Linked DNA regions of Arabidopsis thaliana. The protein of the gene in region 1 interacts with the protein of each later gene in a pairwise test. Each region holds a gene or a part of one and is shown on either strand. Other genes may lie near its edges.

Region 1 (4,463 bases):
TTGCTTATTAATTCAGAAATTTGGTCCTCTTGTTCCTCATAAAATACTTATATATAGAGAATCCACTATTACTTTGTTGCCTATACTTTCATTTGCACAAACACATTTACAAGTTAATATATAAAGAGATCTTTTTCTAAGGTTCTTCTTCGCATCCTTCTCGTTCCTTCAAATTTTTTTTGTAATTCATTCACTCTTTATAAATCTGAGATTTGATATATAATTTTATTATTGTTTAGTATTTTCTTTTTATTTTTCGTTTTTTGAATTAAAACATTGTTTTCAGTTTTGATGGTAGGGGTAATATTATTGGTCCACAGTCTATGTTTCCATGTGTGTGTGGATAAGATAGAAAGCAGAAGCAGTCAAATCTTTTATTCGGGTCCATTCTCTTAGGACACAAGGTTAGATCTCAACTTGTTTTGTTTTTTCTTTACTTGTTCACACACATAGATATTCGTCGTCTACAACTTGAACCTTTTATATCAACACCCTTACATTAAATTTCCGATTCTAATTTCTTCATCACATATGAGCTTGTAACTTTTTTTTGTAATTTTTGATTATTAAGATATAAATCAGTAAGAAGTTGACCATTTGAACTTGTCAATTTAATACTTAAGTTTCCCAAAAGCATATGTATATATTATAATCAACATTTGGGAGATCAATCGTAGGCTCCTAGCTAGAGTTATGTCTTTTTCGCTTCTACATATGATAGTACAAATTACACAGCATAATATCATAATGTAAAAAACTAACCAAAAGAAGAAAATATAATTTCACAAAATGGAAGCGAAAATATGTATCCAACGGTAACACATTAAACATCATCAAATATATAAGCAAGCCCAACTGTCTCATTCTTTCATGAAAAAATATGTACATGCAAATAAGAGAGACAAAATAAGATCTTAAGTTACATATAAGTTTTTTTTTTCTCTACCTCTCTCTCTCAATATATATAATATATGTAGTTATAACAATGATCGATCAAGGCTCTTGCTTAAAGAAAATTGAAGGAAAAATCTCCCTCAAGAGCTCATACTCACCCCCTTGATGATACACTTGGTGAGAACTAGGGTTTGAATTCACACTACCATAACCACTTTGTCCATATCCATAATCCAAAGCCGCCGCCACAGAACCGCCGTTAGTATAAGCTGCCGTCCTAAACATATCATGTGCAAAGCTTCTTGGAGTCATGAGGTCTGCGGAGAACATAGCAGCCGCGGCAGAACTTCCTCGAAGATTAGTCGGAATCGGGTGGTTGTGTTGACCCTCGTAAGTTGTAATCACAACCGTTGGATCTTGGAACGATCTCTCCACTCGTTTCTTCACGTTGCACTTTTGTGTTGTACATCTATAGTAACTCCTATTTTCGTTTCCATTGGCTATTATCAGTTACACTATAATGGTCGCATTTTTCTAAACACAAATTTTCACAAGCCTAGCAATTTCAAAAAATAAAAAGGGAAAGTTTAGTTACCTTGGATAAGGGCTATTTTTTACAGCCTTTTGGCCGTATTTTCTCCATCTATAACCATCTTCAAGATGATCAACTTCACTTTTAGTCATAAACGAGACTCGTGGCTCTCTTTGTTTCTTCACCTCAGTCTTTTTCGTTTTCCCACTGAAAAATAATACACTATAAAATTAATACACATGCTAGACTAAATTCCTAAACGAAGAGATCAAATGATGTTCAATGTTTTGCATAAAAGTTCCTATAGAGTTATGACTTACACTTTTTTGGAAATTTGATCTTCTTCACCGACTAACTCTCGTTTCCTCCGGCTCTTACCGGAATCTTCACCGGGGTGATCAGCCTCACTAGAGGAAGAATTAGAAGGAGAAACCCTAGTTTCAGTCTCGTTGCATGCACCACCATTGATTACGTCATTAGTAACATCACGGTTCGGTTCTTGATCGATCGAAGAATTGAAAACCTCTGAGGAAGAGGGAGAAAGACCAAAAGTTTTCTGAAGTAGAGATTCATACGCTGCTGGAGAACTTTGGAGACAATCGGTGAAGGAATAAGTAGATGGATTAAAACCGTTTTGTGATGGGAGGTTTCCATAAGAAGATGGATTTGAAGTAGGCAGATTCATCATTTCGTGCAACGAAAACGATGAAGGGTATTGGTAGTTGTAGAGATCTCTGGTTTCATTAGACATGGTGAAGAACAATGAAGAGAGAGGTAAAAAAAGAGTAAAGAAGACAAAGAAGAAGAGATGAGATAAGCCTTTTAGGTTTGGGGATTAGGTTTTTAGGTTTTTTTCCTAAGAGGTCTAGATTGGTGCTTGGACTTTAATTTGGTCTTCGTCTCTCGTTCTCGTATTTATGCATTTTGAAACTCAAAAAAGGAAGAGAGAGAAGAATAATATGATTTTGGCTACTTGGTTTGGAAATAAGTTAATTAAGTAAAAGTGTATTGAGATATAATTCAATGGTACGTGTGTGAATCCAAAGTCGTGTTAATACTTTTATTTTTCTATCAACTTTGTTTTTTCTTGTTTCTTAACTAATCTCAATTTAAGTTGTGTAATTTTTTCCTATGCAAATTAATTTATATGTTAAAAGCTTTCATAATATTTCTTCCTCACGTTATTTTATCAGTATAATTTTGAATTCATATACAAAAAGGTTCAAATAAGTCTTTTTAATGTTTATCAGTCAAATGTACATAAAGTTAATTATAAATTAATAATGTGAACGATAAGCAACTTAATAGATAGGTATATATATATATATATATATTCAAGAAATAAGATATAGAAGTAGATGATAATTTTATTTGTGATATCATGTTATGCCTTTTGAATGACTTTTTGGTTTCGGGCAATAAGAACTTTACGTAAAGCTAAGTTGACAAAAATAGAGCTGCAAAACTGGCTTCTAGTGAGGAAACATACTTAAGCTTCTATATTTTTAATTCAGAATATGCTTACTTGCAAGTATTTCTATACCACTAAATACATTTCTTCGAGTCTTTGCATTGTATCTTCGTATAAATTTCCTAAAATTCTACTTTTATTTTTCCACATTTGATAAACATGCATAAATTTTGGGTTATTTTTGTGTGCTGCCTTTTTTATGGGGCCAAAAAGTAGGACATGAAAAGTTCTCACCTTCATTTTCTTCCCCACTCTATACGTGGCATATATAGTGGACGGGCTTGATAACACGCGCTACGACTAAACGGCGCGTGGAAGAAGACGACGTTATTGAAGGAGTCTTAGTCAGCGAAGACTATGTGTTACCGGAAACCGGAAACACTCAGTCACCGGCCGGTCGTTTGGTGTGAAGAATGCAGTAAGAGGCAGTCAAAGATTCAAAGGGAAAAAAGTTTACGAAAACAAAAGATTATATTTTGGGAGTATTAGGCTGCCACGTGGAAACACTTGCACCGGCATTTGACCGTCGCCGACACATGACCTGGCACGTGCTAGAGACTGTCTTCTCTTCTTCTTCTTCTTTTTCCCTCACTGTTTCACGAACCTTAATAATTATTCATAGGTAATTCCTAGTCAAGAAGCAATAATTTAGACCCTACATATTTTGGTTATAAAATATGAATATATGAATCTCTTGATATTCAAATTATTTTCATGTTTTTAGTGTAAGATTTGACCCAAAGAATCATACATTGCTAATAATTTGCTATAACATTCAAAGAAAATTAGTTACTATGGGACTTTAAGTGACGTAGCTATGTGGAGTGGATCGTTACTTATGCTGACGGATAAGTGAGATCATGATTACGCAATAACAATTTCTTTTTCACATTAGAACTTTCTGTTTGCAAGTAAAAGAGCATCTTAATTTATTAACTTATATTAAGGAAAAGATGGTCAAACCAAAAGTATCTATATTATGAAAATGTTAACATTATGATAATTACGATAAACCCTTTATATACAATTTTATTTGCGATAATTGTGGGGAATTAAAGTTGCATGTTATGAACCCTATGCTTGATTTATATAGCTAGTAATCGTTTTCATGAGTTTGTAGAAATTGATAGGAGCATATGATCAGGAAAAAAGGAGACATATAATGCCTAACCGACATGACAAATGCGAAGGGGACATACATCAACTTTAAATGTGGTCAAAGTGATATATTTACTACTATGAAAAATCACTAAAATATGGCAAGATAAAAACAAATACTAGCATCTTGGAAGAAATCGGTTTAATCACTAAAAATTTGATATGTCATGGTCTTTTGGTCACAATCCATTTTTTTGGTAGGTGAAGGATTCAACTCTTTTTTTTTTTTTGGTCACACCTAAGTTTTTGGATTACAAATTATCGTGAATTACGTATGATGATCTTAATGCGTTTAATAATCACTGCTATATTACCTAGCATATTACGGATAGCGCGAGAATACATACATATATATAGTCAGTGTCTCAGTGATACTCAGTATAAAATATTGGAATGAATCAAAATACT
Region 2 (3,912 bases), on another chromosome or scaffold:
GTGAGATCAGTGGACCCAAATGCCTACTATGTACTTCAAAATTCTTAAAATTTTAGGAAACAATTATTATGTGTTCTATTCGGAAGCAAATCATTGAAACATGTTAAAAGAAAGACAGTTAGATAGAAATTTCAGTGTGAAAAAACAAAACATAGAAATTTCAGTTCACATAATTGAGACTGGGCTTTGGTTAGATGAGTGGAGTGGCCATGCAAAATGGAGCCTAAACATGGCCTTGGACTTATTTTGGGCCATGTCTCAGCTTTGGATAACTCTTATACAATCTCATAAAACAAACACCAAATTGCCACCAGCTTCAAACTCAAGTAAAAAAACTTTAGAAAGATTTTATTTCTCTTTTATAGAGATAATATGATCAAAGTCAATAAAAGAAAAACATTATTGTTAATCTTATTTTCTTATAATTTTTTGCATAATTTCTAATTTAGATTTTTACAAACAAACAAAAGAAATTGTAATTTAGAAGCGATATTTCATATTTTCTGTCAACCAAGAAAATAGAACATAGTACCCAAAGAAAAAAAGGAATATACCAAATGAAGGTCCCCAGCAAAAGTATATCCCCCAAGTCCAAGAGACTTGGACCGTCCGAAAAAGTCCCTTTGCTTCAATCACTATCAGTTTTCGCATTTACTAAAAAAAATATTTGTGCAAATAAATAATTTATTTTTATACAAAAATCTCTAGTAAATATTACCTTAATCGCTATATAATTATTTTCAAAATATTTTAAACGTATATGAAATGTATGAAGAAATATGGGAATCTCAAACATTTATTAACCTAACTACTTGAAAAAAATTAATCAAAATTTAACGTCTTTTAACAGACCACGAACTTGTTCCAAGGTAAGGAACAAGATCATCGTGAACGGTCCTTGCCTCGTCGCCGTCGGAACAAGCCCTTTGTACAAAGCCATTGGTCCTTCCTCTGCCACCATCTTCACCGCACAATCCAACGGTCCACCGTAAATCTCCTTATCCGCATTCATCATCCTCGTCTTCACAACGTCGATGGGATTCGACGCCACCGCCGCGACGATCCCCGCCGCAAAACTCGCCGCTACATGCGTTCCTATCCCTCCCGGCGTTCCACGGCCACCAGCTACCAAGATTTCTTTGACGTGATCATACGTAGCGAGCTGAGAAGCTGTCACGATCATGGCACGGTTCACGGTTAGCCATGAGCCACGCCATAAACTTGAAACGCCTTCTTGCCTTGCGATCCTGTCGATCGCGTCCACGACGCTCTTGTAGTTTCTGCGACGGTTTAACGGCAAGCTTCCGTCGGCTTGCATTCTCACCATCGCCACGTCAGCAGGATTCCCGACGACTGATCCAACGGCTCCTGCGATGAGTCCAGCTGTGATCTTGGTTACCAATGGGAAGTTACCTGTTTGGAATTATCGTTTACGTTTAATTTATTTGATCTTTTGTGTAATAATATGGAAAAAATTCGAACCAAACAAACCGAAACTGTTTAAGATCGAAACCGAACCAGCATTTGTTTATAAATCCATTGGTTTTCTTATTTAAAACCAATAACCGAGAACTGTAAACGACTTTTAGTGTAATCAAACCAAACCAAACCGAATAAAAACCAAAATTATTTTTTGAGTAATATTGTTGCCGATCGAGTTTAGTATTATTACCGGTGAGTTGATCAGTCCACCTTCGTTTAAGAAAGTCGTATATACCCATACGGGTGGCAGAGTAAAGCATCTGACGGAGGATGGTGGCGGAGACGCCGGAGAAGAGAGCGGCGGGTCCTTCGGTTTTGACAATGTGTGCCCCTACGGCGAAAGGGGTCATGACGGAGCGCGTGGAAGAAGACGGCGCGTGAATGTGTAAGGGTAATAAGGAAATGCTGCCGATGAGAGAGTCAAGAGCGAAAACGGGTCGGTAAGGTTTCACGGGAAGATTATGATCAAGGCTAAGATTAGGGTTAGGGTTTTGGTCGAGCGAGAAAGAATGTTCGCCTTGAAGCTGCATACGGACTTTGATGAGGTCTAATGGGTGAGTCAGAGCTCCGGCGATGATTGCGGCGATGCCACCTTCAAGAAATGGTTTGAAGCCCATTGAAACGATTACCGGAGGATTTTATTGTAAGGAGAGAATGTTTTGAGGAATGGGAATTGAAAGAAAAGAAGAGTTTGGGAGATAATAGATCTTTTGTAATAAAATGTTTGGAGAAGAAGAAATGAAATTGAACAAGTTGGAATGGAAGAAGACAAACTACTTGAGAAGAAAATAATGCAACGAGTAGTTGTGTTTGTGTACTAGTCCTGAATTACGGGTTCCAGCTTTTAGCACAATGTTTCTTGTTTTGTCTTGATGCACACCTTGGCATTACAGAAAAAGAATAATTGAAGCTAGAGGAATAAACCAATATTGGTCAATGAAACCAATGTTCTATATCTAACATCTACTCATAAAATTTGATGTTTCATTAAGACGAACGTCATATACACCGACAATTGACACATTATATCTTTAATTAAATATCTTACATTACATGATTTACTTAAGAGTTATATATATATTTTTTGTACCACAAGAGATATACATATTACAAGAGAGAATTAGTACGAGATTATATCAGGAGCGTTTAGAGACTCAATCATGACATGGTGAGGACTCTAATACTGTAATACATATGTAATCTCTCATCTTTAACCAAACACAAACCAAAACTATAATTGCATATATAGTTTATATAATCATTTGACGTTCTTTACCCATTGATCTATGGCTTCTTGTTAGAAACGTTAACCTCTTCAACTGTTGATGTAGGTTTTGTCTTTTCAGTCTTTGGCAAACCGCCATTAACACCGGGAATAGGAAAGCTCGGAAACCATGATGGAAATTCAAATGTTGACCCTTCTGGCTCTTCTGGTTCTTCGGGCTCTTCAGGAACTTCGGGTTCTCCAGGAACCTCAGGCTCTTCTGGAATCTCAGGCTCTTCTGGAATCTCAGGCTCCTCCGGTGAGGGCAGCTCCGGCTCTTCTGGAACTTCCGGCTCCTCAGGTTCTGTGTATTCTGGAACCTTTTTGACCTCTTCTTGCACCAGAGAATGACTTACTCTAGCAGCAAAACTAGGTGTAGGGAACAAGAGGGACGATGAAATAAAGACAAGGAACAAGACCGAGGAGACGAGAATAGGAAGGCGAACATTAGTCATTGTGATATTCTTGAATCGAAACCAACTTAGAAAGATGAGTTAAACAATGTTGTGAGTATAGAGAGTTTGTGTTTTGCTATATATTGTTTACAGAATGGTTTCTTAAATAATATTGAGATGAGAGAGATCTTAGAATGTAGATTCATAAGAGTCAAAAAAATTTGGTGAGAAGATCTCACTGCACGATTGTGAGAATGTGATGTTAGTCTTCAACAAACTCACCTATATTTCATTATACGTCTTAGTTGTATAACCCCTTTTAAGTTTACTTTCGAACCTAATATATATACTTGTTTTAAAGCTATTGATACTAAACATTACAAGAAATCTTAAAGTTAGCAATACCTATATTGTATTTTACGTCTCATATGCATCACCCCTTCTTTACCTGTGAACATTCATTATTAATACATTTACATATGATTTTATTATTTTATCTTGTAACCGTTTCAAGTGAAAAGTGTATTTTTACGCATTATGTAGATTATTAAAATATATAAGGATCAAAATCAAATAATTTTAAGACTTATAAAATAAAATAAAAAATAAGACTGAGATAAAAAAAAAAAAAAATTAAAGACTAACTCAAGTCCAAACTCATAATGGTATTAAGTATTATAGAGAAAATCACCAAGAATTTTTTTTACGATAATAAGAAAAGTTTAAAGACACTAGAGTGTCAGAGACATGATGATAAGAAGATAGATTTAG

What was found.
Region 2: the proteins of WRKY28 (region 1) and DIC3 interact in a two-hybrid assay, tested with the Arabidopsis thaliana proteins (one large-scale study listed by BioGRID).

The regions. Positions count from the first base shown.
Region 1 is NC_003075.7:10,059,222-10,063,684, reverse strand, and holds WRKY28 (WRKY DNA-binding protein 28), read right to left. Parts: upstream 2,472-4,463; 5' UTR 2,178-2,471; coding exon 1,747-2,177; intron 1,634-1,746; coding exon 1,490-1,633; intron 1,376-1,489; coding exon 994-1,375; 3' UTR 792-993; downstream 1-791. UniProt on the Arabidopsis thaliana protein: Transcription factor. Interacts specifically with the W box (5'-(T)TGAC[CT]-3'), a frequently occurring elicitor-responsive cis-acting element.
Region 2 is NC_003076.8:2,948,415-2,952,326, forward strand, and holds DIC3 (dicarboxylate carrier 3), read right to left. Parts: upstream 2,282-3,912; 5' UTR 2,100-2,281; coding exon 1,673-2,099; intron 1,414-1,672; coding exon 827-1,413; 3' UTR 718-826; downstream 1-717. Other genes in the region: AT5G09480 (hydroxyproline-rich glycoprotein family protein), read right to left, coding at 2,767-3,201. UniProt on the Arabidopsis thaliana protein: PUMPS are mitochondrial transporter proteins that create proton leaks across the inner mitochondrial membrane, thus uncoupling oxidative phosphorylation.